5 linked regions of the Oryctolagus cuniculus genome follow. The main gene of each other region encodes a partner of the protein of the gene in region 2 in a complex. Links are inferred from orthologs where the notes say so. Each region holds a gene or a part of one and is shown on either strand. Other genes may lie near its edges. The genes, in order: MED1, PPARG, CREBBP, NRIP1 and NFKBIB.

Region 1 (5,629 bases), on a different chromosome or scaffold from region 2:
TGAACTGCAGGTGGTCAATATTGTGGCACAGAGGATTAAGCCACTGTTTGCAATGCCAACATCCCTTATCGGAGTGTTGGTTTGAGGCCCAGCTACTCTGCTTCTGATCCAGCTTCCTGCTAATTTCCTCTGAATGCAGCCGGTTATGGTCCAAATACTTGGTCTCCAACTACCTATGAGTAAGATCCAGATGCAGTTCTGGGCTCCTGGCATCAGCCTGGCCTAGTCCTAGCTACTGTGGACATTTGGGGTGTGACCCAGTGGATGCAGGACCTCTCTCTGTCATTCTGCCTTTCAAATAAAATAAAAATATTTTTTAAAGTGATTACAAATCTACTAGTAGTGCTTACTCTACAGATACAATGAAAATAACACATTACAATCAAGGAGCTTAAAAGGAAGCGAAGAATGTCTTCTAATACCAGTCTGCCAAATGCGTCCCTAACAGGCATATTTCTTGGCACCTTTGCTATAAGTACCCACTGGGTACCAAAACTCACAATAAATATAGTTTTATAAATACAGTCAGCCCTTGGTATCTGCAAATCCCACATCTGCACAATCAACCAAATGAAGATTAAAGAGTCAGAAAAAAAAAACAACTTCTTTTATAGCAAACACTTTTTTTCTTGTCATCATTCCCTAAACAACACAATGTAATAACTATTTACATAACATTCCATTTTTATTATAAGTAATCTAGAGATGATTTCTAGTATATAGGAGTATGTGCATAGGTTATATGCAAATGCCATGCCATTTCATAACAGGAACTTGAGCAAATGGGGATTTTGATGTCCACGGGGGATCTTGGAACAATCCCCCTTAGATAACCAGGATGAATGGATAGCTCCTTCCTAGGTAGGTCCCTGAAAAGCTCCAATATATTCCAGTGTTTTATGATAAATAAATCTGAAGACACTATTGTAGCTAATTTGGACACAGGGAGCTTACTTATTATCTAAGTATAACACTTTACCCACTTGCCACAATCCTCACCATGACTTGCCGCACAAGCTTAATGGTTTCACTCCAAGGTCTATTTTGGTTAAATTTTGCATGAAGCCGTTCCAAGAGAGAACTCATCTTACTCAGCTTTTCCGACTCTACGACATAAATCAGAAAACATCATTAGAAACTCCTTTATCAAGACCTCGTTTTTCTTGGAAAAGAAACCCCCACACAGCCGAATCTAAGAATTGGCTAAACTACTTTTCGATATAATTTCTTCAAACCACATAAAGAAAATATTTTTAAAGGTGAGAAGACACATACCTTATGGGTCTGATAAAAGGAACACCATAGGACATTCCATTCAAGGTTTTAATGGGAACCCAAAAAGGAACCGAGTCTAATCATGATTCACGACCATGCCTACAACTTAGTGACAGTCATTTTCATAACATGCCTGAAATTTCTGTATAATATTTATAGAGAGCATACATTTGAACATGGTCTTACAATGGTTAGCTGATTTTCAATGTGAAAATACTTCCTTAATTTTTGGCCATAATTTTAAGAGATTGGTTGATAAGTATGATCAAGAAAACAGACCCTAATTGCCTATCTGATGTTTCATATTTTTCCATATAGCTAAAATTATATGGACAGGGAAGAAATCAATAACCAAAAGATGAATTTCCAACAGAGGTTAAGAGAAAGGCAGAAAGGATCAGCTCCTGAACTAAGAATATGAATGAACCTCTTAAACCCTTCGAGCCTCCCCTAGTTCTTGAACTGCCATGTATGAGCGAAGACCTGTGCTGGGGCCACTGGAAAGGAACACAAGATATGCCTGAGGAGGGCCGGCGCCATGGCTCAATAGGCTAATCCTCCGCCTTGCGGCGCCAGCACACCGGGTTCTAGTCCCGGTTGGGGCGCCGGATTCTGTCCCGGTTGCCCCTCTTCCAGGCCAGCTCTCTGCTGTGGCCCGGGAGTGCATTGGAGGATGGCCCAAGTCCTTGAGCCCTACACCCGCATGGGAGACCAGGTAAAGCACCTGGCTCCTGGCTTCGGATCAGCGCAATGCGCCGGCCGCAGCGTGCCAGCTGCGGCGGCCATTGCAGGGTGAGCCAACGGCAAAAGGAAGACCTCTCTCTCTCTGTCCACTCTGCCTGTTAAAAATAATAATAATAATAATAATAATAATAACAAGATATGCCTGAGGTGACATCTGTGAGGCAGTGTGATCAAGTTAACATGGGAATTACCATTGGTGCAAAAAGAAATGCTCTTAAAAGCAGAGACATTACTACTGAATAGCAAAGAAGGAAAAGTACATAATCAATATGGAGACATTAAAAAAAAAAAACAGACTGTTGACACTGGCACTGAAAAATAAATAGAAGGTCAGAGTTAAGGCAGCAAGATGATCTCAGTCAAGACTCAGACTCCTTCCTTCACGCCTTCATCTTCTGGAAAACTGGTTTGTAGGCTGCTTCAGCCAGCTGATTGCTCTGGGCACATTCCTATTTCCCACTATCAAGCCATTCATTCAAGCACAATTGTATGTGCTGCAGACACAGTAGTAAGCAAACCATACAAAACTCCTGCCTGATGGTGTTTCCACTTTACACCCAAGGGACACACATTTCTTCTCCTTCAAATCACACCCCTTTTTTTTCTTGAGAAGCATTCTGTAAAACGTCCTTAGTCTGAAACTCAAATCAAACATTTTCTGAGCAACTACTATGTGCCAGAGATTATACAGAGATGAATAAGGGAGCCGGTGTTGTAGTATCGCGGGTGAAGTCACCACCTGGGATGCTGACAACTCATATGGGCAAAGGTTCAAGGCCCAGCTGCTCCGCTTCCAATCCAGCTCCCTGATGGTGCACCTGGGACAGCTGCGGAGGATGGCCTCAGAGAGTGGCCCCCTGCACGCATATGGGAGACGCTGGGGAGGCTCCTGGCTTCGGCCTAGCCCAGCTCCAACTATTGCGGTCATTTGGGGAGTGAACCAGCAGGTAGAAGATTTTTCTCTCTCTGTAACTCTGCCTTTCAAATAAATACATCTTTAAAAAAAAAAAAAATGAATAGGGCAGCCCCCTGATCTACAAAGCTCAGAACAAACTGGAAGGATGAACAATGATAATAAAGTAAGCTGTGATTGAAAGTGCAGTGTGGAACTCCAGAGAATCGGAGTAAAAATTTCCATAGAAAAAGTCGTTTTCAACAGTTCTAAATCAGTCCGGCCACCGATGGGAACACTGTGACTTTTAGGAAGTGCAGGCATTTTGTATCCTCAGGACCAAATCACATCATTCACATCAAAATACTCTCCAGTACTTTTAGATACACGGTTCCGTATGGCTGTTTTTAGGCCATTATTCAATGGTCTCTTCCGGAATGAGTTGCAAACAGCTAATATATTCACTCGCCTGATCTTCCACCACTTTAGGCTAAAAGTGCCCAGAAGCCCCAGGTACTGTCTCTATATAAAAAGGAAATCTTCACCCAAGTTGGGAGCCCCCACCACCCTAAGTCAGCGCTCTATCACCATCAAGGAAGGCATGATGAGCATCTAAGACACACACATCCCGCATCCTGGACTCAGTGCCCCCGCGAAAGCGGCCCCCACGGGGCATCGGCCCCCACCTCCTCGCCCAGATTGGCTGCCCCCAGTTGAGTCCCGCCCCCTCCTTTCCCCCACTGTCACTCACCCTCGGTTTCCCCCTGAGCCTTCATCCTGACGACGGGCAGGGCCTGGGTCCGCCACAAGAGGAGAAGCCCGTTCCTTCCACTAATGGGAGAGCCACGTTAGTTCGGGCTCCCGGGACGCAGGGCACCAACAGTCCCTACTCTTCCCGGGAAGGCTCAGTCTGAAGTCCCCGGTGGCAAGAAGAGAAGGGTGCCTGCGGCCGCCGCCATCTTCCCCAACGGAACTTCCTAAAGCTCGCGAGATAAACCGTGATCCTGCGCGAGAAAGGAAGCGACGGGATACTGAAGTCTCGCGAGAGGTGAATGACGTACTTCCGCGAGATTTCTTCCAAATCCGGCTGTCTCTTAGCTCTTGGGTACTTCGTTCTGAACTTGCGAGCAGGTAGAGTTCGGTTGTTGTACGAAAACTTGCATTTTCATTTTAGCCGTTAGTTTGGAAACTAAACCCACAGAACCCCTTTTTTTTTACAGGCTAGATTTTCAAAGAATACTGGTATCTGAAATGTTTTATCAAATACAGTAGAGTTTCCCTTATATGCTAGATGCAGTAAAACTGTCATAAAAACACTGGCTCTTTGTAACACGACATTTGAAGGCTGCCTAGGACACTTAATTACCATTTTCTAATATTTTTTAAGTTTCAGGAATATTTCTTGAGCAGTTGCAGCAGTTTTGAAAATCTGAAGTGCTTTGGATTAAAATAAACTTGTTCTCAGCAGCAAGTGCATGTTATCACTGTGTCTTGGTGGAAACATGCAGTTTAGCTTGTATCTCCACTGCAGATCACAGTGTGTAGTCTTCTCTCTTGTGTCAATAAATCCTCATGAAGAGAAATCCATAGCAATGCTGGCAAGTGCATGGCCACTGGAGCTTAAAGGCTACTTTTAAAAAGAATTTTCTCATATACATCCTTCAAAAATGCGGCTGGAAAGTAGGATCTTACCTAGTTTTCTGCAAGAATATTAAGCAATGAATTTCTTTTTTATTTTTAAGATTTATTTATTTGAAAGGTAGAGTTACAGAAGCAGAGAGAGAGGTCTCCCATCTGCTGGTTCACTCCCCAAATGTCCACAACTGCTGGACCTAGCCAATCCAAAGCAGGAACCTGAAGCTTCTTCCAAGTCCCCCTGCTGCCCTCCCCCCCCCTCCACGGGTGCAGGGGCCCAAGGACTTGGGCCATCTTCTGCTTAAGCAATGAATTTCTACTGACTGTAGTCTCAGATTTTTTCCACATTTAAAAAATAGCATTCACATATCCAGAGCCATCTCAGCAAATAACTGCAATTCAACTGAGTAGGCACAGCAGTATAAATTTGATAAAAAAAAAAAAAAATAACCTGGCAACTTGTTTCTTTACTGCCACAAAGGTAATTATAACATTCCCTTGAAAATAGGATTACACTTTTATTGTTTTTTTCCTCTTATCGTCATTCTTTGGAGTCATATTATACATAGTGAATTTCGTAGGGGCAGAAATGGCCCCGTGTTACTGAATCATCACTCCCTAGCACTGTACCTAGGCCTGGTAGCCAATCTTACTGGCTTACCAAGCCTGTCTAGATCCAGCTTTTCTGCCTGTCCCAATCCCCAGCATACTGACTTTCCCTCATTTGGAGGAGAATTCCTGCATTCCTCCCAAGGTCCTTCTACAGGCCTTTCTAACTGCTGGGAAGCCTCCCCTTTATCCAACCCTTTCAGCTCTCATTCAAATCTAAGTTAAATGTTTGTTCCAAAGTGGGCATTTGCATCCTAACGTCAGAGTACTTGGTTCCTTGAAAGCAGACTAACAGTGCTCCACTTGAGTTGGGATTAACAGCATATTTTCCAGGCAGGTGTTCGGTGCAGTGGTTAAGAGATGCCCAGGGATGCACACATATCATATCAGAGTACCTGGTTTTGAGTCCTGGCTCTACTTATAATCCAGTTTCCTGCTAATGCACACCCTGGGAGGCAGCAGATAATAGCTCAA
Region 2 (5,512 bases):
AAGAAGAAGAAGAAGAAAGTTAGTTTAGCAGAATGTTCAGGGTTCTGAAAAGCTCACACTGAGGTCACCCTGCATTGTAGCCTTGGTTTCCTGAGCCTCACCTGAACAGATGCAGGTTACTCGAGTTTATTAGAGGCAGGAAAAGTCGGTGTACGTGAGACTGCTTCATGGCGTGGTGGTTCTGCCTTTGGGCTCCATTCACCAACCGGGGAGAACTGTACTTTCCGATCCAGGGCCTGAACGACCTTTTCACTCATTGACTCAGCCACCCGAGTGCCTCTTGTGTTTCTGCTAACGAACGGTTCACAGACATCAGGGCGGCCTACAGGGGAAGATAAAGCAAGTCAGTGCTTAGAATCCAAGTGAAGAAAAGTTAAGAGGAGAGCCTTTGGAATCAGACGCACTCCACGCAAACCTCAGCTCTCCCGAGACTAGCAGGTGGCAGATCTCGGCACGATTTAACTCCTTTCCCTGAAGTCTTCATTCCCCCTTCAGAAAGTACCACCTCACGGAGTTATCATGAGGATTAACTGGCATGTTGTGTGCACGGCCCTTGGCGGTCTTTGGAGAATAATAGCCTTTCAGTAAATGCAGTCGGGTACGGTCGTGCTTGAGTCATTTACAGGGTGCTGTGGGAGCACACGGCAAGGACAGTAGAAGAACAGAGGACGTGGGGGGCTCGTGCCGAGGAAGGGTCCAGGCCAGAAACCCAGCAGAGGCTGCTTTCTGAAGAAGGGGTTGGCATCTCTAAGGCAACAGTGAGAAGGGCGGGTTTCGGGCAGAAGGAACAGGACCTGATTAGGCACACCGTCCTGACAGAGCCCAGGATGTCGGAGGAGCTTGGTATGGCTGGAGCAAAGGGATAGTTAGAGAAACTGAGGCTATAGCAAGAGCAGGAGCGGCCTCCGAAAGCTGGAAGAGGGCATGTAGCAAGGACAGCCAAGCGGTTGTGGAGTGAACGGCCGTCAAGAGCTAAGCTCTGGCCAGCACCTTGGCTCACTAGGCTAATCCTCCACCTGCGGCGCCGGCACACTGGGTTCTAGTCCCAGTTGGGGTGCCGGATTCTGTCCCGGTTGCCCCTCTTCCAGGCCAGCTCTCTGCTGTGGCCCGGGAGTGCAGTGGAGGATGGCCCAGGTCCTTGGGCCCTGCACCCCATGAGAGACCAGGAGAAGCACCTAGCTCTTGGCTTCGGATCGGCCGGCCGTAGCAGCCATTTGGGGGGTGAACCAATGGCAAAGGAAGACCTTTCTCTGTCTCTCTCTCTCACTGTCCACTCTGCCTGGGGGGGGGGGGGGGGGAGCTAAGCTTGAAACCAGCACGAAACACCAGTGTCCCAAAGGTTGCTCATGACCCCTGCCTGCTGGTGAGCCTTCAGGAGCAAACCTTGAATTCTAACGCTGTGCAATAGAAATGAAACTTGAAAAACAAGAACCAAAACCCACACTTTCTACTTGGAGATTCAAGAACTTAATTTTAGGTAAGTGTAAGACAGGCTGTTTAGCAAAGACCCACGAGAGCCCTGTGGGTCGCAGCCCCTTAGAGGAAAATTAGAGCTCACACACACCAATCAGGAAGCGATTAGTACCAACACAGAATGGACTAAGCCGTGAACTCCAGGAACTAGAAAAAGAGAAAAGAATGAACTTAAAGGTTTTAAAGAAGGAATTTGATCAACTGAAACTAAAATATAATTTTCAAAAGCAGTTGATAAAACCAAAAGCTGTTTTCTTCAAGAAAAAAAAAATAGATAAACCTTTGACAAATCAAATATTTTAATGAGGCCGGCACCACGGCTCACTAGGCTAATCCTCCGCCTTGCAGCGCTGACACACCGGGTTCTAGTCCCGGTCGGGGTGCTGGATTCTGTCCCGGTTGCCCCTCTTCCAGGCCAGCTCTCTGCTGTGGCCCGGGAAGGCAGTGGAGGATGGCCCAAGTGCTTGGGCCCTGCACCCCATGGGAGACCAGGAGAAGCACCTGGCTCCTGTCATCAGATCAGCGGGGTGCGCCGGCTGCAGCGGCCATTGGGGGGTGAACCAACAGCAAAGGAAGACCTTTCTCTCTGTCTCTCTCACTGTCCACTCTGCCTGTCCAAAAAAAATATATTTTAATGAGCGAATACACAGATAAAGAGCATTAAATTAAGGGAGCATAGTGAAAGCAATCAGAGAGCTCCAATTCTAAGAGGAAGTCATGTACCGCTTTCTTCCAATATAAAATACTAAATTTTTTACTTTGTAAGTAGGAAACCTGAATAGATAAAAAGCTGTGGAAGGAAAAGCAAAGGCAGCTGAAGCTTTATCACAGGCTCAGGTGGTTCTGCAAATGGATTCCAGGAAATCCGCGCAGAAACAGAAGGAGGTCTCACCCCAGTGTGCAAGGCGAGTTAACATTTATTTCCAAAACAGGCAGAGAATGGCACAAAAAATAACACTCTGGGCAATATCACCTGCAAATATGAAAGCTCTAAATAAAATATTAGCAATTGAGTGCAAGAATATAAGGAAATCTAACGTAACACTGCACCAGACTAAGATAAAACCATATCTCTTTAGATAGCATATATCTGTAGATAGAAAAATTTTAAAGCATTTGATAAAATTCAACAACATTCCTGACTAAACAAATTAAAAACTTGAAAATTCTTGGAAAGCCCGGAGTAAAACATACCCAGCATAATCTATAGCAAACATCATACTTGATGGGAAACCCTTAGAAACATTTTCTTCGAAGTCAGAAATAAAACAAGAATGCCCCTGATTATTGCTGCTATTTAATACCACATCAGAGGTCTTAGCCAACAGTATAAAAAAGGAAACGCAACGTGCAAACACTGGAAAATAAAAAACAAATAAATCTACCAGTGTTTATAGGTGTGACTGTCTAATCAAAAAGGAATCCATGATTAAAAATTACTTGCACTGACAAAAGTTCAGAAAATTAGAATAAATTCAATATAGTAAAATCAATAAGGTTTCTAGACGTCAGCAAGAATATATTAGAAAAAGAATGAAAATGAAGAGACCGTTCACGATAGGAGCTATAACATATTTAAGGATAAATCTAACTAGATGCGCAGGAAGAAAAACATTACCAAAGGTGCGAAATTAATGTAAGCTGCTTTCTGCAAATTGAAATGGGAGGCAGAAGAAGATGCAGTCGCACCTCTCCCGAGAAAGCTCTGTGAAAATGCTGGGGGTCTGTCCCCGCAGACTCTAACGGTGTTTGAGAACCGTGCTGTCACGCTGAGACGGCCCTGTGCTGTATTGACCAGGAGGAGGACGAGGCGCTCTGTTTGGAAGTGGGTCTGAAGCTTGGCGGGGGGCAGGAAGGAGCAGGTGGTGGAAGCGGGAGGCTCAGCCTGGGCGCGGGGTGACTTTGAGGCCGTGTTGCCGCCACCAGCCGCAGAGACGGAGCCCGGGACGGCCAGCGGTCTGGGTTTCGATCCCGCCCAGCGTCGGCCTGCCTCCCCGCACCTGTCCCCGGGGGCTGCCCCCGGGGGCTGCGCAGGCTCCGAGGTGGGCCCAGAGGGTGTCCTGACTGACCCTGCTGCTGTGTTTTCCGTTTCTGCTCCCCCAGACCGCCCAGGCCTGCTGAATGTGAAGCCCATCGAGGACATCCAGGACAACCTGCTGCAGGCCCTGGAGCTGCAGCTCAAGCTGAACCACCCCGAGGCCTCGCAGCTGTTCGCCAAGCTGCTGCAGAAGATGACGGACCTCAGGCAGATCGTCACGGAGCACGTGCAGCTCCTGCAAGTGATAAAGAAGACGGAGACGGACATGAGCCTGCACCCCCTCCTGCAGGAGATCTACAAGGACCTGTACTAGCCCGGCCCTCCTGAGCCACCGACGCCGTGTCCTTCTTCCAATTGCACTATTATTTTGAGGGAAATTCTGACACCTACAAAATTTTACTGTGAAAAAGCATTTAAAAAGAAAAGGTTTTAGAATATGATCTATTTTATGCATATTGTTTATAGATATACATTTACAATTTACTTTTAATATTAAAAATTACCATGTTATGTAATTTGCTGGTAGTATTTGAAGACCGAGTGTGATGTGTTGCCCCACCCCAGCCCCTTGGACTCCCCCCCACCCACATCTTTTATTTCCGTTCTTCATTCTGTAGTCATCTTCTTCCACGTGAATGGAGCTGTTGATAAACTTTAACCCTCAGTAAATTAATTTTTTACTGAATTTACAACTTTCCTGAACTCTACATCTGCTTTCACAATTTTAACTCAGGAAGGGGGACTTGAGAACCGAAAAGCACTCGCAGCGTGTGATGCTCAGCCTGGCAGCTTGCCCCTAGGTTGACCTAACCACGACTGTCACCGCGAGCAGCCTGGTGCTACCCCTAGGTTGACCTAACCACGACTGTCACCGCGAGCAGCCTGGTGCACACAGTCGCCTCTCCATGCCTGTGGGAGAATGGCTCCGTCTCACACACTGTGGATCCCAGGCCACAAGAAGCTCACGTCGGTAAAGGGCTGTGCTGCCTTCATGGATCCTGTGCACACCCTCCCCTGCGCTTGGTGCTGTGGTTTTATACTAAGGACTTGCATGCACAGCGCACGTAGTTGCCGTGTGTACTGGCAGGGCATGACACCAGGAGGAAACGTCTGAACGCGGTCAGTACAGGTGCAGTCTTCTCAGATATGTTCAGTCCGCAGATGCAGAACCCACAGAGGAGGAAGGTCAGGTGTACTGCCCACGGCTCAGATACCAGCACACACACCCCCAAACCGCTGAACTGAACGCTGGGCGCTGCTGGAAGCTCTGGGAAACACAGCTTTAAGATTTGACACCTGACAAAAACAATTACAAAACTGAGGCCAAAAGATGAGCTTTGTGAATACAGAATGCAATACACAGTAGTGGTTATGTGCCAGACGAGCGATTCAGGCTGCAAGCTGGGAGGGAGAGTCCCATGGAAATGCAGGGTGAGGGGACTGGGACAGGGGAGAATCCCTATGCAGGGTAAGCGATGCGTTGTAACAAAGCTGCAGGAACAGCAGCCGTAGCGAAAGGGGCAAAAAGAAAGGAAAGCGAGCGACTTCCTGGTTCCCAGCCACCCTCGCTGGGGCCGCTTACCCTGAGATCTCTTAACTTCTGAACGCAGGCTGATCACCCCCATCGTTTGTATAATCCCTGCCTCCGCAGCAAGTCGAGTGTGAGTTTCCCTGCAGGCAAGGGCCGCCTTGGCACAACTAACAGACTGGTTGATAAAACCACCAGTTCCACTGGCCTTGGCGCCCCATGACCTCACTATGCTGTTTTTAAGAATGCCCGGCGACCATCATGGCGCCTGTGTTCTCCAAGGCAGGTGTCCCCACAGAGCTGGAAGATTTCCCAGCCATCCCTGCCGTGGTTTCTCGCCTACGGTGCTTACACCTCGCAGAACGTGACCTTGGATCTGAGACTTTCACATCAAAGTATCAAAACAAATCTTTTCATCTTGGACTTCAACATACCAAGCGTGTGGTTCAGCGATGAAGACGGCGCTTGGGATG
Region 3 (5,047 bases), on a different chromosome or scaffold from region 2:
GCCAGAAACACAGCGCAAAGCTGCAGCCTTGTCACAGAGCCCCCAGGCAGAGGGAAGGCGGCGCAGGGAGGCGCTGGGCCCCGCCTGCCTCCTCCTGCACGCTGCCAAGGCAGCTCGGCCCAGCATCTCTCTAAGGGGTTCACGTCACAACCGTCGCATTCTTTAAGACCCTTTCATCAAGTCCCTCTAACCTTTTCAAGTCTGCGAAAACAATGCGGTAGATCTAGAGCATACAAGCAAAGCCAACGAAGTCAGACCACAGACCACACACTAAGGATCCCACTTACACAGAAAAGACAAAGGCACAGAGACGGGAAGTGGATGAGGGGTTGGGGCAGAGGCGAGAGAGACCAATGGCACAGCGTGTGGAATCCGCACGGCCATGGAAACGCTCCAACACCAACGTGTGCTGATGGCTCCACCACGTGGCAACGCCTCCGAACACCCGCTGAGGCACACACCTGTGACAGGCGAGTTCTGGGTGTGGAGTTACGCCCCAGTGAAGTGCAGGAGAAGGAAAAGCAGGCAAAGGCAGAGGAAGAGCACGCGCCCTGGGAACACCTGGCCCCACACTCGCTCCCGACCTGACCTCGGGGTGCGAGAAACAACACAGCCAACATAAACCGTGCAATTATGACTTCACAACACACACACACCGAGAAATGCAGAGAGCTCTGACTAGCTCTGAACAGTTTAGTCCAAACTTACCCCAATTTCTTCACATATTCTAGATATCCAATAAGGATCTCGTGGTAAACGGCTGTCCGGAGGCAACGGGGCCGGAAGAAGTGAATACTGTCCAGGTAGGATATGTACACACGCCTGCGGGAGTGGGGTGGGTCCATTTTTAACTCAAGGTACCCCTCAAACTGGAAACCAAACAGCAGTATCCAAGAAATCTGCAGAAACAGGCTCTGCCGAAGCCGCCGGCAGCGCCCCTGCCCACTGCCATTCTTGCCTCAGCAGGAGGGAACTCCCGGCAGAGGCGCCTCTCATGAGTGCGGACACCTGCTTAGGTGAGACGGAGGCGGCGGGGAGGCCAGGGCCCCGGACCGGGGACACGCACACTCGCCACAGTCGTCTAGTCCCTTCATTTTCCATGAGTTCTCAGGTAAACAAAACTAAGCTTGGCTAACGGCGGCTTAACCTAACTTCCCAGAACCAAAGCACACAGTTCCCCTAAGACACTTACTAAGGGAAGAGCTGGGATTACCTTGTGTTTGGAGGCGGGCAATCGGAGCCATATTCTTGGACATGCATTCCAAAGAAGCACACATCCACTCCATCAATTTCCTCAAAAGCAAAGAGCGCTTTGGTTCGATATGGGAAGGACTCGGACATCTCCCCAGAGTCCACAAACCTGGAAGAAAAGCCAGCGCTTAACGTCCTGCTTCCACAGCCTCTGCTCCGCACCTGCCTCACGTCTTGGGGCAACACGGCCGTGCCTCCCCGCAAGCCGCAACCATGTCTTCCCAGCCTCACGCAGGCACGGCACCCCCGCACGGGCCCGCATTCTGGGAGACGTGCTGGGCTGCCAGGAGGGCCCTGCACGCGCGGGCCCTGGCTGCGGCCGGAGAGCACAGCACACACACCGAGACTTCATCCCAGGCTTGACTTCCACGGTCTTGTCCGAGCTGGCCACCACTCTGACGAAAACCTCCCCGGCTTCAGGGTGGTTTTGGCGCCGCAGGAATTTGTTCACTCGGTCTTCCAGGTGGTTTCCCAGGCGTGTGGTCTGCAGTCCTAGGAAGTCCGAAGGAGCAGGTGAGAGGCTTAGGCAAAGGCCAGTGAGACCACAGCACCACCTTTCTCCTGGCACAGTCTTACATCTGTCTTACTGGAGACCTTATTTATCTGCTTATTTGAAAGGCAGAGTGACAGAGCAGGGGAGACAGAGAGACACCGTCTATCCGCCGGCTCCCTCCTCAAGCATCTGTAACATCCAGCCTGAGGACAGACCAGAGCTGGGACCCAGAGACCCGAGCTGCTGTCCACTGCCTTCCCGGGCCAACGGGCAGAAAGCGGCTCGGACCGGCATGCTGACGTGGGCTGCGGGTGTCCCCAGAGGAGGCTTCACTCGCTGTGAAACAACTCCCGTCCCACGGCCGACGTTGTAAAGGAGCGAAGCTCTCCAAACACAGGAGGGGTCCTGTCTTCCTCAGGTGGACTCAGGGAGCTCAGGCACTCGACAGCCAGAAAACCAACAACACTCCCAGACATTTCCATCTTTTTCTAATAGTGAGGGGCAGAAGAACTAGAGGTAGAGGTAGCCCTAGGTCTGGCAGGAGCTGTGGGGTGGAAGCCAGGCCCAAGGAGGGGCCGGGCTGTGTCCTTCTACCCCAGGCCCCAGGCCCTTCCCGCCACCAGCACCCCGCAGCAGGACACCTAGAGCAATCAGACTGGCTGGTGCTTCCCCAGAGGATGGGCACTACACCCTCAGGGAAGGCGGGTTTCTGGTGAGTGACCAGCTCTGCAGACTAGAACATTCCAGGAACCACCCACAAAGCATCAGCCGAAGATGGCCTGCTGCTTCAGGGACTCTCCAGTCATGTGGAGGACAGGAACTGCACAGGCATGTGAGTCTGGCCCTATGCCCACCGTCTCCAAGCGAGTGTGCACCCTGACAGGGTGGCCGTTCTTAGGCCGCTCCCCCTCACGAGGCCAGCCCCCAAGGAAGAAACAAGGGTCAACACTCGGTGTGGCACAGAGCACGCCTCACAGATGCCTGCAAAGGAAAGTGGCACAAGGCTCACCGGGACGCCGGTCTTCTTCATCGACTCTCTAGTATTTCCCAATCAGAGACATTTAAACAACGACCTGGCATTTCACAAGACTCCTTACTGGGGTGAACCTGGGGGGCCGGCGCTGTGGAGTAGTGGGCTGAGCCTGGGCCTGCAGCACTGGCGTCCCACAATGGGCATGGGCTCATGTCCTGGCTGCGCCCTTCTGATCCAGCTCCCTGCTGATGCACCGGGAAAGCAGCCTACGTGCTGGGCCCCTGCACCCGATGGGAGACCCAGAAGAGGCTCCTGGCTCCCGGCTTCAGATCAGCGCAGCTCCGGCCGTTGCGGCCAACTGGAGAGTGAACCATTGGATGGAAGACCTCTCTCTCTCTGTGTAACTCTTTCAAATAAATATATAAATTCTGGTTAACAGCAGAGTTTGAACTTGCGTTAAGCCCTGCTCTGGGGCAGCAAGCACAGCACGGTGTGGACGCCCACGTTCTGCACTGGGCTCCAGTTCCTGACTGCAGCTTCCTGTTTGTGCAGACCCTCCAAGGGGTCTTCCCCTTCTTGCAACCAAGACAGAAAGATCTGGATGAAAATCCTGGCTCTCAGCTCTGGACACCTGCCACTGTGTGCAGGCAATGAGTGAGTGAACCAGCAAGACAAGACCTCATGTAAGTAAATAAATTCAAAAATTAACTTAAAACAGACTGATCATAAAAGCTGACTTTCATATAAAGATCAAGCCACATGACTATTTATGGGTAAGACAAGAAAAATAGCAAGTATTGGGGCTGGCGCTGTGGCGCAGTGGGTTAATGCCCTGGCCTGAAGCACTGGCATCCCATATGGGTGCCGGTTCGAGACCCAGATGCTCCACTTGATACAGCTCTCTGCTATGGCCTGGAAAAGCAGTGGAAGATGGCCCAAGTCCTTGGGCCCCTGCACCTGCATGGGAGACCCAGAAGAAGCTCCTGGCTCCTGGCTTCGGATTGGTACAGCTTCAGCCGTTGCAGCCAATTGGGGAGTGAACCATCGGGTGGAAGACCTCTCTCTCTCTCTCTGCCTCTCCTCTCTGTGTACCTCTGACTTTCAAATCAATCAATCAATAAAAATAAAAATATCAAGTATTAAAAAATAGATTAAAACCTTAGATAACTGAGCTGTAAAAGTACTCATCGACTGAGAGGCACCCAAGGAGACCAGGACAATGTGCCCAAGTTCTAAAGAGGACCGTTCAGGAAACAAAAGTCTCCCACAGACTTACTCTTAGCACTGAATTTGTTTTCTTTTCGAGGTCTGCCAGTTTTCTTCAAGCAGTTGTCGCATACAAAGCTGGGGAAAAAAAAGGTGTGATCAGATTCCATCCACCAGCATGTGCTGCCAAACCAGCAAAACACAGCATCACAACCCTTTGTTGGCATCTGCATCACATCATTATAAAAAAAGTGAAGAGGCAGACAGCTTTGATTCTCCCATTCCTAAAGCGGGCAAACACTTAAGACTTCAAGTTAGAACTAACCGCCAGCTCCTATGATTGCTGCAGTCTGACAACAAGGAAGAGACCGCCACTGTCACCCCGACCCCGCAAGGCCGAGCTGCTCACCGGTTCCAAGACCACAGGAAATGACTTACCCCGAAGGCCAAATGATGTCATAATGCAGCACACAAATCTGATGCATCTTCCGTCCACACTCTTTGCAATCAACAAAACTAGGAGACAAAAAGCCCAAAGTTACGCACTCAGAAACACAAATGAAACCAGCCGCAGGCGCCTGAGTGTGCGCACACCTTGTTCTCAGGGCCACCAGGAGCGCCTCTGAGGCTGACACAGGCGAGGCTGACCTCCCACCTCTCCTCCAGAGAACAAGCGCCTCACTCCTCTTGCTCCCAACCTCCCTTTGCAACCAGAAACGCAACCTTATCTTTTCACAAACTACCAAGATGATTCAAAGACTTTCGTGGAAATTGGCATTCAGTGGTAATGCAAATACTCTGTGAACTTGGACCCTGGTCAGAGACGTGGGCATCCCCGAGTGGCGTTTCATGCGCTGTGCTCAATGTTCACTGCTCTGTGAACTTCTCAAAGTCTCCTTACACCGTAAATTAAGGCCACTACTTCTTCACACGACTACACATACTTTCTCGAAGTGACTTCACGTGCCTCAGCTGACTTAGGAAACAGAGGACAATACCTTCGGTGTATAAATACAGTTCCTAGGAGGATACTGAAGGCCGTGTGGTCCGGTCACAGCTGCTACAGCAGGCCTGATGCTGCTGTCACTATGGAAGGTGTCAGACGCCAGGCCTACCATTAAGCA
Region 4 (5,847 bases), on a different chromosome or scaffold from region 2:
TTGGGGAAGGCATTACTAATGCCTACTTTACAAAAATTAGCCTTCTTTATTGTCTATTTTCGTATCTTTATAGATATTTGTTTGTTGAACACAAAAATTTTAACAAAATTTTCCAGTGAATTTCAAGACATCTGTTGAAATCATAACAATTCAATCAAACTGGGAAAAAAAAAAAAAACAGTAAAGAACATTCCACAGACAAAAGTTATGACATATAACAATAAAAATTCCATTTAGTGAAAAAGTTGATATATTCGGAGGCTTAAGCTAAATTGGTTTACAGTTAATTTACCTAATTCTATCCAAGTTATTCATTGCTTTTGTATCATCAGTTTCGTCAAAATTAGCTAATAAATGTTACACACTGATATGAGCAAACATACAGAGTATATGGAGTCAAATAAAATAAAATAAAATAAAACATGAATTTGTTAGTTAATACCTACAATGACTTCCATTTCTTTCAAAAGGGGAAGCTAACAAGTAAGCAAGGGAAATCTGGTCTGAAACACTAAAAAGCTTTATAAACACTTCATGTTTTATGTGGTTTCAAAGTATAAGTAATCAAATTCATTTTTCCAATACTTTCTTTGGACTTTCATTCAAAAGGACATTACTGTACTTAAAAGTATAACAAGACTTTTTAGAATATGGATGTGTAACAAACTACAGTAAAGCATGTTAGTCGAGAATCTCCAACTGTCAACTAGTAGTCTCCTGAGATACATACCAGAGATCTCCCTCTTGGAGACATAATCCACTGGCTAATGGAAGGGTACTGAAAAAAATTCATATACTTTGACCCAACATATTCCAACTAACTGATCATGAGCTCCTCATTTCAAAGGAAGAACGACCTTAGACAACAGAAACTTGGCATAATTCCTTTTAAAATCTTAAATCGTTTTTGAATATATGTAAAGAATTTAGAAAATCTCCACTAATAATACAGTGTTATGTTTTCAAAGTTTTTCACTGTACCTTCTAAATAACTTTTGTTAATCTGAAAGAAAAATCTTTGATCATGTCTAAGAATAACTCATTTACATATTTACTCATATGCCATGAGTGATTGTTGCTTACCATTCTGATTACTCAGTAGAACAAGGATGCTGAAAAATTAAGAACAACAAACTATATCACGGGGCAAGGGGCAGAAGTGTTAACAGGAGTATGCCTGGTTATAATGTTCTTTTTTATAAAACTTTAGGGGGCCAGTGCACATCTCCACTGCAGTGCCGGCATCCCATATGGGTGCAGGTTCGAGTCCCAGCTGCTCCACTTCCCACCCAGCTCTCTGCTGTGGCCTGGGAAAGCAGTGGAGAATGGTCCAAATTCTTGAGCCCCTGCACCCATGTTGGGGATCCAGAGGAGGCTCTTGGCTCCTGGCTTCAGATTGGCATAGCTTTGGCTGTTGCAGCCATCTGGGGAGTAAGCCAGCAGATGGAAGACCTCTCTTTCTCTGCCTCTGCCTCTCTGTAGCTCTGCCTTTCAGATAAATGAATGAATCTTTAAAAAAAAATTAAAAGTTGATAAACAGGGTTCAATATCAACTATATTTTTCCAAATATAAAAGATTTTAAAAAATCAACTTATTGCTTAAATTTTCCATGAACTTAAAAAAAAGTTTATTTATTTTCATCATTTGAAAGAGGACCAGAGAATAAGAGCAAGAGAGAGAGAAAAAAGAAACAAAGAGAAACACACACACGGAGAATAATCTTCCATCCACTTCTTTACTCCCTAAACACCCCTGTCAGAGCTGGAAAAGGAATTCCATCCAGGTCTTCCAAGTGGGTAATATGGGCCCATTATCTGCAGCTTCCAAAGAAGCATTAGCAGGAAGCCAGATCAGAAACAGAAACATAGGTGCAGGGACTTGAACCGGCACTACACTATGCAATGTGGCATCGCAAGAAGTAACTTAATCTGCTGGGTCCCAAACACCGACCCCATGAAAGCAAATATAAGATTATCAATCATTTCTTAACACATAATTACAGCTGAATAAAAGAAATTTTAGTATTTCTAAATAAAAGTCTAGTGTATTTACAATTCTAACTTAGAGGTAAAAATATGTGAATAGTTGTAAAAAAAAAATGCAGAGCAACCAAAGAATTAACAACAATTTTATACAATTGTTTTTGACAAGTAATGTTTTAGAGATTTTTCTTGGTGAAATTACAAGAAAAGCCAAAGCAGTTAAGTGGAATGATTAAAATAACCCCATCGCTAAGTTTTCTTAACATAACCAAAATAGTGCAGAAAAAGGATTAGGTACTATCACTGTGACAACCATATTATGCCTGCAGGTAAAGTGCAAATTTGGCTGAGTTCCCAAGCCCGTTTTGAAACATCCTAGTGAATTAGAACACCCAGAATTTCAGGATGCTCCACCTGCTCTCTCTTCTGATCAGAGTTTTCAGGTAAATACCTGAAAGAGGTATTAATCACAGTTAATTATGAGAAGAATAACCATTCACTGTGCCTTTTTGCAGTTACCTGTGCCTTTACCTAGTTCACCTGGTTTGCTTCTGCTCAGAAACAAGCATGACAAACATGACGTGACAAATTCACTTAGGTTGCAGAAAGACTAGAAAACAGGAGTGTTAATCCAAGTAGAATTAACCACTCACTCTGCTCTCTCCTTGCACTGCGCACCTAGTGGTGTTGATTTGAACCAATTATTGTATCACTTCTCAGATGCTAGTATAGTCTTTGCCTTGGAAGAGTAACCATTTCACATAATTCCAGAAGTAATCACTGACCTATACCATAACAAACTCATAACAACCAAACATCCTTCCACATTTCCTCAAGATACTATATAATTAATTTTTATCTGAAATGATTGCTACTTCACATTTTGTATTAACTATCCAATTTCTCTGATTTCTGGTAAAAGTAAGTACCACCCACACAAATATAATCTCTTCTTTTAAGCTTCCCAATCTCTTCAACCAGAAGTAATCTACACATTTAACTCTTAAGAATATCTGCTGTGTTTTTCTTAAGGAAATTTTAATCTTTTACTGTTTGACTACATTTATTTATCTACATTTATCCTTTCCCTGTAAGTTCCTTAAAGTAGGACTGTATCTTATTTTTTAACCAATAGTCCAATGAAATAATCTGCATTGATAAAAGCACATAATACACATTTGATGATTATAATTTATAATTATATAAGAATTTATAATTCTATAACATAGAATTTTCAGAAATATATCAAAATCACAATGATTAAGCCTGAAGAAATAAAAAAAATATTCTCACCGTCACTCCAAGGTTTAAGCCTCTGCTTTCTGTGAAAGGAAACTGAGAAGGCTGTTGAAAAGTAGCTCTGATGTCATCTGGAGTCTTCAGATTCCCCAGTCCTGCGTTAGTCAAGTATGCATCTTAAGAAAAGGAAAAAGATAGTTTGGCAACTATTCCAAGCCAGATTCTAGAATACCTTTTCTAAGTTCGGTAAATGTATTCAAGAATCTTTTCTTGTTCAAGTTTAATGCAAAAGTTAAGTCATTTGACAGGGAAATACAAAGCTTTTATGAATACTGTTTTGTTAAAGGAAAGCAACAGATTTTTGTGTTCCAGATAATACAATTACTTAACTGATAAAAAGTAGATGCTTCAACAAAGTAAACTACAAAAAAGGCTTAGGGTTGCTAGGATGTACTTAATAACCTTTGTAAATTTTTTCATCTTAATAGTGTTCTGTCAGATTAATTCAATCAATTTACAACCAAAAAGTCTAAATTTTCCTGAAGGTATATTTCCAATAAAGAAAAAAAGGAAGGAAAAATAAAAGCTATAATTTCTCTCTTACAAACATTCTCAGTTGTAGATTCCATCTGCATAAAATTCTAGAAAATGAAAATTAATCAATAGTGAAAGAAAACAAATCAGTGGGGTAGCTGGGGATGGAGAATTTAAAAGGGAAGGACTATATATAGATGTTATCTTTTAGTTAATTGTCTGAGAGGCTGAAAAAGAGATGGAGAGAGAGACAGAGAGATCTCATCTCTTGGCCCACTACCCAAACGCCTGCAATGGTAAGGACTGAGCTGGGCTAAAGACTCAAGCTGGAAACTCAATTCAAGTCTTCTGCATGGATGACAGGACCTCAATTACTTCAGCCATTACCGCTGCTTCCCAGTATCTGCAGCAGCAGGAAGCTGGAGTCCGGAATCGGAGCAGGGTTTGAACCCAGGTACCCTGATACACAATGTGGGCATCTTAACTGCTAGGTTTAACAGCTAGCCCTGGATGTTGGCTTAAATGCAGTAATAGTTTCACAGATGTACATATATGTCAAAATATATCAAAGTATACATCTTAAATATGTGCAGTTTATTACTTATCAACTGAAATTCAATGAAGTTGTAAAAAAAAAAAGTCAAATGCCCATCAATGTTATTTGATGTCATAGTTGCCCAAGATTTCTCCTACTCAAAAATAAATAAATAAATAACCTATGAAGGATTTATACAAATATTTGACCATAAGGATATTCATATTATTGCTAACAGAAAAATTTATAAATATCATTCAATGTCAAAATAAAATAATTAAAACTAATTAAATAAATTATGATATATTATGGCCATTAAAATATTATCTAACAAAATTAAGCTATATGGAATGATGTATTAAATGTCAAATAAAAACAAGAGACATGTTCAACATAATTAAATTTTTGTTTTAAAATTATACAAAAACACATTTTTTGCATTTAGACAGCTAAGTTTGTTGTTGATTTCTATTTTTTAGTCTCTCTACAATGAATATATTACTACTTTACTAACAGACAAAATAAATTAGAGGATGAAAACAGCAAAATGTAAAACTATCCACTCCCTAGAGCAAGTATAAAACAAATACTTAATCCTAAGAGGCAGTACACATTACAGAGGTAGTTCTGGCTGTCATGCTACCCTCACCAGCGACCTAACAAACAGAAAGAGGCAGATCTGACAGATGAATGGGAACAAGCATTATGTAAGCTACATGCTTTACCAGTTTATAAAGCACTTTCACGGACATGACCTTATTTGATCTTCATTACTCAGTGAAATGAGCAGAAGGCATTCTCCCATTTTACAGAGGAGAAACAGACACTAAGCAGGGCTGGCTAAGTGACAGGCCTCAAATTACAGACCTTGGACTCAAATCAAGCTTTGCCTATAAATTCTATCAGCAATATAAGAGGGACATGTGGGGCAGGGGAATAACTTTTCTGATTACCTATACTAGAAGGAAATGATTAATATCTGCTTTAAAACAACCAGATTTGCAATTGTATTAGTACTCCTATTAGAATTTGCCGAGGAACTTGGTAATTTTCTAAATCCCATTTTCCAACCTCAGAAACTATAACTGTTAAGCCCATATTGCCCCTTGTCATTTTTGACTAAACCAATGAAATTTTTGCATATAACTGAACTGTTTTAATTTTCAGTTATATTTCTTTCTTTAAAGTTGAAACAAGAAAGTAACTGTATTTTTGAATGGTGAATATCATAAATAGTGACCTATAAATTGATGTCAAAGGATCTAACTTAATGGAGGTTTAAAATACAATTCCCAACTTGACTCTCACTGGGATTAAACATGACAATAGGTCTAATCTGATTTCATCATCATTTTAAAAAATCATCTATTATTTTTCACTTTATGTTTCTGTGTGGGAGCAAACTGTTGAAATCCATACTTAATGTATACTAAGCTGATCTTCTGTATATTAAGATAATCGAAAATGAATCTTGATGTGAATGGAAGGGGAGAGGGAGTGGGAAAGGGGAGGGTTGTGGGTGGGAGGGACGGTATGGGGGGAAAGCCATTGTAATC
Region 5 (5,653 bases), on a different chromosome or scaffold from region 2:
TCTGGAGCTCTGGCTCCTGATTCCAGCTTCCTGCTAACGCGCCGGGGCCCGCAGGGGCGGCACAAGCACGTGGGGTCTGGCACACACGCGGGAGACCCAGCTCCGGCTTCAGCTGGGCTTCTGGGGAGTGCGGGGACGCGAATCTCTGTCTCTCTCTCTGTCTCTGTCTCTGTCTGTCTCTCTCTATCTATTTATCTATCTATCTATCTATCTATATCTATATATATCTTTAAAATAAATAAAATGTTTCAAAGTATTTGTTTAGGCAAAAACAATAACAAAGCTCACCTGGACTTCATAACTTGTACATAAACTGTATGACAGCAATAATACTAAGGCCAGGAGGGGACAAATGAAATCTATTATTTGTTATATCACTCTTTTTTTAAAAAAAGATATTTTATTTGTTTTAAAGGCAGAGTTACAAAGGAGGCAGAGAGAGACAGAGAGAGATCTTCCACGGGTAGATTCACTCTCTAAATAGTTGCACATGGCTGGGGCTGGGCCAGGCTGAAGCCAGGAACCTGGAACTTCTTCCAGGTTTCCCATGTGGGTACAGGGGCCTAAGCACTTGGGCCATCCTCCACTGCCTTCCCAGGCCACAGCAGAGAGCTGGATGGGAAGTGGAGCAGCCGGACTTGAATCAGTGCCCATATGGGATGCTGGTGCTGCAGGTGGCAGCTTAACCCACTGTGCCACAGCACCAGCCCCCAGATGTATCATTCTAAGGTTCTTTTACTCTGTGTAAAGTGCATGATATCACAAAGTTGTCAGTATGAGCCCTAAGGCAGGAGTCAGCAAATGTTTTCTGTACTGGGACAGAGCACTGCTTTAGGCTTTGTGGGTCACATGGTCTCCCTTCTACCCACTCAGCTCTGCTACTGCAAATAGCCATGGACGACGATATGCAAATAAAAGAGCACTCCAATTTATTATTGGGGCCCAAAATATGAATTTCATAAAATTTCCACTTACCAAGCAGTATTATTCTGCTGATTATTTTTTAAAAATTAAAAAAATATAAAGACCATTCTTAACTCAAAACCAGGTGGCAGGCTCCATTGCCAACTGCTGTCTTAAAGTGACCACTAAAATAACAAAACAGGGGCCAGTGCTGTGGCGCAGGGGGTTAAGCGGCCGCTGTGACGCCAGCATCCCACACCAGAGCCCCAGTTCTAGTCCTGGTCGTTCCGCTATTGATCCGGTTTCCTGCTAATGCACCTGGGAAGGCTGCAGAGGACGGCCCAAGTGCTTGGGCCTCTGCCACCCACGCGGGAGACCCAGAGGGAGTTGAAGGCTCCTGGCTTCGGCCTGACCCTGCCCCAGCCGTTGTGGCCATGTGGGGAATGAACCAGAGGTTGGAAGATCTCTCTCTCTCTCTCTCTCTCTCTCTCTCTCTCACTCTTTCAAATAAAGGAGTATTTTAAAATCAGGCAGAGTAGATTTCAGAGCCAGGAATATTGCCACAGATAGTGAAGGTAATATCAAAACGCTAAGGAGATCAATGAATCGAGTAACAGTATTTCATAATCCTAAATATCTGTGCCCTGATAACAGAGCCTCAAACTAGATTAAGCAAAACCTGACAGAATTAGAGAGAGAAACAGACAAACCCAGAGTTACAGCTGGAGCTCTCAGACTTTCCCTTTCAACCACTGACAGACAAGTGAAAAACCATCACCAAGGACAAAGCAGCCTGGAGCTCTGTGGGCCAACACAGCCTCCAACTGATATGCAGAGGACGCTACATTAACCACAGGGTACAGAGTATTTTAAGTGTGTGTACACCATTCTGAGCCGTAAAACAAGTCTCAAAAAACTTAAAAGAATTTAAAACGTACAAAGTATGTTTTCTGCCCACAATGGAATTGAAAATTGGCAGCAGAAAAATACCTGGAAATATTAAACTATCTGGAAACCAAATAGCAGACTTTTAAATCTACTGGTCAAAGAAGAATTCAAAAGAGAAAATTATAAGGAATACTGAATTAAGTGAAAATCAAGATACAACATATCAGAATTGTGAGACAAGGCTAAAGCAGCTTTCAGGGGAAAATTCATAGTACTCAATAACCTACATTAAAACAGGAGCAAGCTCTCAAATCAATGACATGAACTTTCATCCTAAGAAATCACAAAAAGACAGGGCCAGCATTATGGCCGCGGCGAGGACACCACTGGGACACCCATCCCATACGGGCTCTGGTTCCGTGTCCGGCTGCTCCACTTCCAACCCAGCTCCTTGCTCATAGCTTGGGAAAAGCGGCAGAAGGTGGCCCAAGTGTGTGGGCCCTGCCGCCCGCTAAGGAGACCCAGAAGAGGCTCCTGGCTCCAGGTTTCGGCCTGGCCCAGCCATGGCCATTTAATCTCTCTGGGGGAAGAGAACCAGTGGATGAAAGATCTCTCCCCTCCCTCTCTCTCTAACTCTGCCTTTCGAAATAAATAAATAAATATTTTAAAAAATTTAAAAAAGAACAAAATAAATTACAAAAAGAATAAATTAAACCCAAGATTCAGAAGAAAGAAGATAAAAGTCAGGTTAGGGGCTAATGAAATAGAAAGTGAAAAGAGGGAGAAAAGTAGCGAAACCCTCGCTGGTTCTTGGAGAAGACGTGGGTCAGGCGCTATTTTGAGCCTCTGGGGACCCAGCAATCAACGGGCAAAAAAAACCCCACAAAACCCAGAGAAGGTGCCCAGCTGGTCCTTTACAGTCTTGTCCCTGGGAGGTTCTTCCCTCCTACCCTCCCACCCAGAGAAGGCTCCGCCCCTGGTGACCGCGACCCCCGGCCCCCACGCCACACCAAAGCTTCTGTTTCCTTCACTGTCCATGGCTCAGACAGGACCCGGGTCAGGTGCAAGGCCACCTCAGCTCTCCCGTGGCTCACGGGCTGTCTCGGAATTGAAGCCGGGAAGATCAGAGCCCAGGAGCAGGCTCTTAGAGGCGGGGGCCGAGGGTCCCCCGAAGCAAAGTCAGCAGCTCAGATCAGAGATGCTATGGGGGGGTGGGGAGCCACAGCCTGAGCCCCAACTCTACTAAGGACTGGGGGTCAGAAGGTCAAATCGGGTTTTGGGATCAGTGGGTTAGGAGGATGTAGGTTCGGGGGGGGGGGCATGAAAATCAAGGTTCAGGGAAAGTAGGTCGGCAATGATCGAATCGGGCTCAAAGCTGATCGGAAACTGGGTTTTGTTACAAATTAGGATGGGGGGGGTGTGAAGTCAGGAAGTCCCGCAACGGAAGTCAGATTCAGGAGTGACAGGTTGGGAAACCACAGACACTCAGAAACGAATGGAGAATCAGGCCTCGGATCCGAGGGCTTCGTTTAACAGCCTAAGGTTCACTCACGTGTCGCCATCCTCAGTGACGTAGCCGAAGACGAGCGGAGCCCACGATAGCCCTGGGCCCAGCTCTGCGCCCAGCCCCGGGCCTCCTGGGGCTGCCGCGTCCGGCCCCAGAGAGCCCAGGCCGCTGTCGCACCATTCATCCGCGTCCGCACCTTTTCCCAAGCACGCAACCCCAGCCATGGCCCCCAGCCACCTCAGGGCCCCCCGCGGCTCCCCGCCTGCCGCTGGGCTCTGCCCGGAGCTCCGGCACTTCCGCCCTGCGGGAAATTCCCCAACACGCCCCCTGGTAAATCCAATTAGAGTGGGCGAAATCGGTCACGCCCCGCCCCCTTGGTGCAGGGTGGCCAATCAGAGCACTGGGATGCACGACGGCTCTCGGGCAATACCCACATTTTCCGAGCGCCCTTTACTAACATGGCTGCCACCGCCAGGCCGTCTGGGACTCGTAGTTCCGCCTTCGGGCGCGCACGGGGCGTTTGCGGGAAAGCCCTGTATGCGGCCGAGATGGGTGCTGGGAGTCGTAGTTCTATGCCCGAAGCCTTCCCCTTCTGTTTCCGGTGCCGTCACGGGACAGAGCAGTCGGTGACAGCCCCGAGGGCCCCCGCCCCGAGCCCATGGCCGAGCCGGATCGTGAGTCGGGGGCCCCGGTGGAAGGGTCGGGCCGCGCCGGGGCCTGGCCGAGGGCTGCAGGCCCCGGGGCCCGAGGGCGGGCGCGGGGGGCTGGGAGCGCAGGGCTACACTGAGGGAGCGGGGTTCCGAGGCTTGTAGTTAGGTTGATCCACACTCGCGGGGTGGCGGGTCTCTGGGTCGCGAGGTTTTAAGGGTCCGTTTACCTCGTCCGTGTTCCAAGTTACTAATGATCGTGTGTTTCTCACACTTTGGTTGCTGAGGACCCTCGTTACTGAGGACAAAAGTTGCCGCGGTCTCGGTTGCTAAGAGCACCTGGTTGTCAGGGGCAACCGTAGGATGCTAGGGGTGCCCGGGTGTCCCGTCCCGTCTCTCCCCTGCAGTTCCTGTGCCATCACCTCCACCGCTCCTCCTCTCCCAAACCCGCCTCCAGCCCGAGCCCCGCTTCCTGTCTAAACCTTCCTCTGCCTTGGGAGCCTCCTCTCCCTCCCCGCACACTCACACACTGCTCTGCCCTGTCTAACTCTTCCTAAGCTTCCTCCAGCCTCTCTTCCCAACCCTGCCCCGCCACAGCCACTCTGCCCCTACTCACCACCTCTCCCGCCAGCCCCCTCCCCTGCCTCCCTCCGCTCAGCTTTTGCCACTCCACCGCCCCATGACCCTGGGTCTTCTTGCCGCCCCTGCCCCCGCTCCCACCGCGGCCACTTTTAACCCTTCATTCCCTCTTAACCATTCCCCCCACTGTAACCACGTCTGCTCCCCCTCCTCCCCCAGCCTCTGACCCTCTGGAGACCCAGGCAGGGAAGGTGCAAGAGGCTCAGGTGAGATGGGGAAATGGTGGAGGGGAGGAGGAAGCTGGACTCGTTCCCACATCCCACTCTGGGGGGAGGTGGCAGAGGGGAGACATTTCCCCCGGGGCCCCTCGCCCCGCCTTGCAGGGGTGCAGCCTCTTGGGGAATGGGGGGTGTTGGGGACCTCCGAGAAAAACGTACAGCCTCAGCCCCAGGCCTGCCTTCCTAAACTTTCCTCTCTCTTTGCTGCTGCCCACCCCCCTTCCCATTCCTTCTGAACCTCGTTTGTGTTGGCCCTGGAAGAGCCAGGGATCCCCTCTGGTCCCTGAGCTCCCCAGAGCGAGCGTGGTGGGTCATGGAGCACCCCAGCCAGGCCTTTCCCTCGGAGAATCCCCAGGCTGGCCCAGGAGTGAGACTGAGATGTAGACGCAGCATAGTGAGTGAAGAGTGACTTAGAACATAGATGAGGTGAGGAGGTGTTCCATGGGACGGCTGCAGCTGTGCGGAGACCGGGGCGCGACCGTGCGATGCAGGCTGGGGGCGGCCGGCTCACAGCAGCCTCGGTTAGCGTGTTCACCGGCTGCTTAGCCAGCCAGGCGCTCTGCGTAGTGCAACATCTCATTTTGTCTGCCCAGCACCCGCATGAGCGGTAAGACCTATCGTGGCCATCATACAGATGAGGGATTTGAGGCAGCGCTCCTAAGTGACCTGTGCTCTGTCCCTTCGCTGGAGGAAACCCATGGCACACGGCACGCTGCCTTCTAGACCCGGGTACTGGTCATGGCCAGTGTCCCCTGCTCCCCCCACGCAGAGCTGCCCCCATGTGTTGGGCGGCTCCCGCAGGGCCTTGCTGTGTGCAGCCAGGAATTGTGCCAGCTCACCCGCACCCCTGC

Evidence for each region.
Region 1: the proteins of PPARG (region 2) and MED1 are in contact, whole or in part, in a crystal structure (PDB 6ONJ), measured with the Homo sapiens proteins. The link is inferred for Oryctolagus cuniculus from reciprocal best matches to the Homo sapiens genes PPARG and MED1. Residues at the interface, in NP_056953.2 of Homo sapiens: Val321, Gln322, Thr325, Glu326, Lys329, Phe334, Leu339, Asn340, Asp341, Gln342, Val343, Thr344, Leu346, Lys347, Gly427, Leu429, His494, Pro495, Leu496, Glu499, Ile500, Lys502; in NP_004765.2 of Homo sapiens: Asn638, Thr639, Asn641, His642, Pro643, Met644, Leu645, Met646, Leu648, Leu649, Lys650, Asp651.
Region 3: the proteins of PPARG (region 2) and CREBBP are in contact, whole or in part, in a crystal structure (PDB 7RLE), measured with the Homo sapiens proteins. The link is inferred for Oryctolagus cuniculus from reciprocal best matches to the Homo sapiens genes PPARG and CREBBP. Residues at the interface, in NP_056953.2 of Homo sapiens: Val321, Gln322, Thr325, Glu326, Lys329, Phe334, Val335, Leu339, Asn340, Gln342, Val343, Thr344, Leu346, Lys347, Leu496, Glu499, Ile500, Lys502; in NP_004371.2 of Homo sapiens: Asp62, Ala63, Ala64, Lys66, His67, Lys68, Gln69, Leu70, Ser71, Leu73, Leu74, Arg75.
Region 4: the proteins of PPARG (region 2) and NRIP1 are in contact, whole or in part, in a crystal structure (PDB 9CWN), measured with the Homo sapiens proteins. The link is inferred for Oryctolagus cuniculus from reciprocal best matches to the Homo sapiens genes PPARG and NRIP1. Residues at the interface, in NP_056953.2 of Homo sapiens: Val321, Gln322, Thr325, Lys329, Phe334, Leu339, Gln342, Val343, Leu346, Lys347, Pro495, Leu496, Glu499, Ile500, Lys502; in NP_001426204.1 of Homo sapiens: Ser130, Thr131, Leu132, Leu133, Ala134, Leu136, Leu137, Ser139.
Region 5: the proteins of PPARG (region 2) and NFKBIB are in contact, whole or in part, in a crystal structure (PDB 9CK0), measured with the Homo sapiens proteins. The link is inferred for Oryctolagus cuniculus from reciprocal best matches to the Homo sapiens genes PPARG and NFKBIB. Residues at the interface, in NP_056953.2 of Homo sapiens: Gln322, Thr325, Lys329, Phe334, Leu339, Gln342, Val343, Leu346, Lys347, Leu496, Glu499, Ile500; in NP_002494.2 of Homo sapiens: Asn286, Pro287, Ile288, Leu289, Ala290, Leu292, Leu293, Arg294, Ala295.

Annotation. Positions count from the first base shown.
Region 1 is NC_091448.1:22,905,513-22,911,141, reverse strand, and holds the start of MED1 (mediator of RNA polymerase II transcription subunit 1), read right to left. Parts: upstream 3,910-5,629; 5' UTR 3,688-3,909; coding exon 3,663-3,687; intron 1,107-3,662; coding exon 1,000-1,106; intron 1-999. UniProt on the Homo sapiens protein: Component of the Mediator complex, a coactivator involved in the regulated transcription of nearly all RNA polymerase II-dependent genes.
Region 2 is NC_091441.1:114,812,838-114,818,349, reverse strand, and holds the end of PPARG (peroxisome proliferator-activated receptor gamma), read left to right. Parts: intron 1-3,576; coding exon 3,577-3,824; 3' UTR 3,825-4,196; downstream 4,197-5,512. UniProt on the Homo sapiens protein: Nuclear receptor that binds peroxisome proliferators such as hypolipidemic drugs and fatty acids.
Region 3 is NC_091450.1:31,788,776-31,793,822, reverse strand, and holds part of CREBBP (CREB-binding protein), read right to left. Parts: intron 4,440-5,047; coding exon 4,362-4,439; intron 4,062-4,361; coding exon 3,994-4,061; intron 1,744-3,993; coding exon 1,593-1,743; intron 1,361-1,592; coding exon 1,214-1,360; intron 823-1,213; coding exon 709-822; intron 1-708. UniProt on the Homo sapiens protein: Acetylates histones, giving a specific tag for transcriptional activation. Mediates acetylation of histone H3 at 'Lys-18' and 'Lys-27' (H3K18ac and H3K27ac, respectively).
Region 4 is NC_091435.1:32,123,422-32,129,268, reverse strand, and holds the start of NRIP1 (nuclear receptor-interacting protein 1), read right to left. Parts: upstream 3,399-5,847; 5' UTR 3,277-3,398; exon of another isoform or gene 1-3,276. UniProt on the Homo sapiens protein: Modulates transcriptional activation by steroid receptors such as NR3C1, NR3C2 and ESR1. Also modulates transcriptional repression by nuclear hormone receptors.
Region 5 is NC_091449.1:15,861,198-15,866,850, forward strand, and holds the start of NFKBIB (NF-kappa-B inhibitor beta), read right to left. Parts: upstream 3,610-5,653; 5' UTR 3,523-3,609; coding exon 3,344-3,522; intron 1-3,343. Other genes in the region: SIRT2 (NAD-dependent protein deacetylase sirtuin-2), read left to right, coding at 3,757-3,972. UniProt on the Homo sapiens protein: Inhibits NF-kappa-B by complexing with and trapping it in the cytoplasm.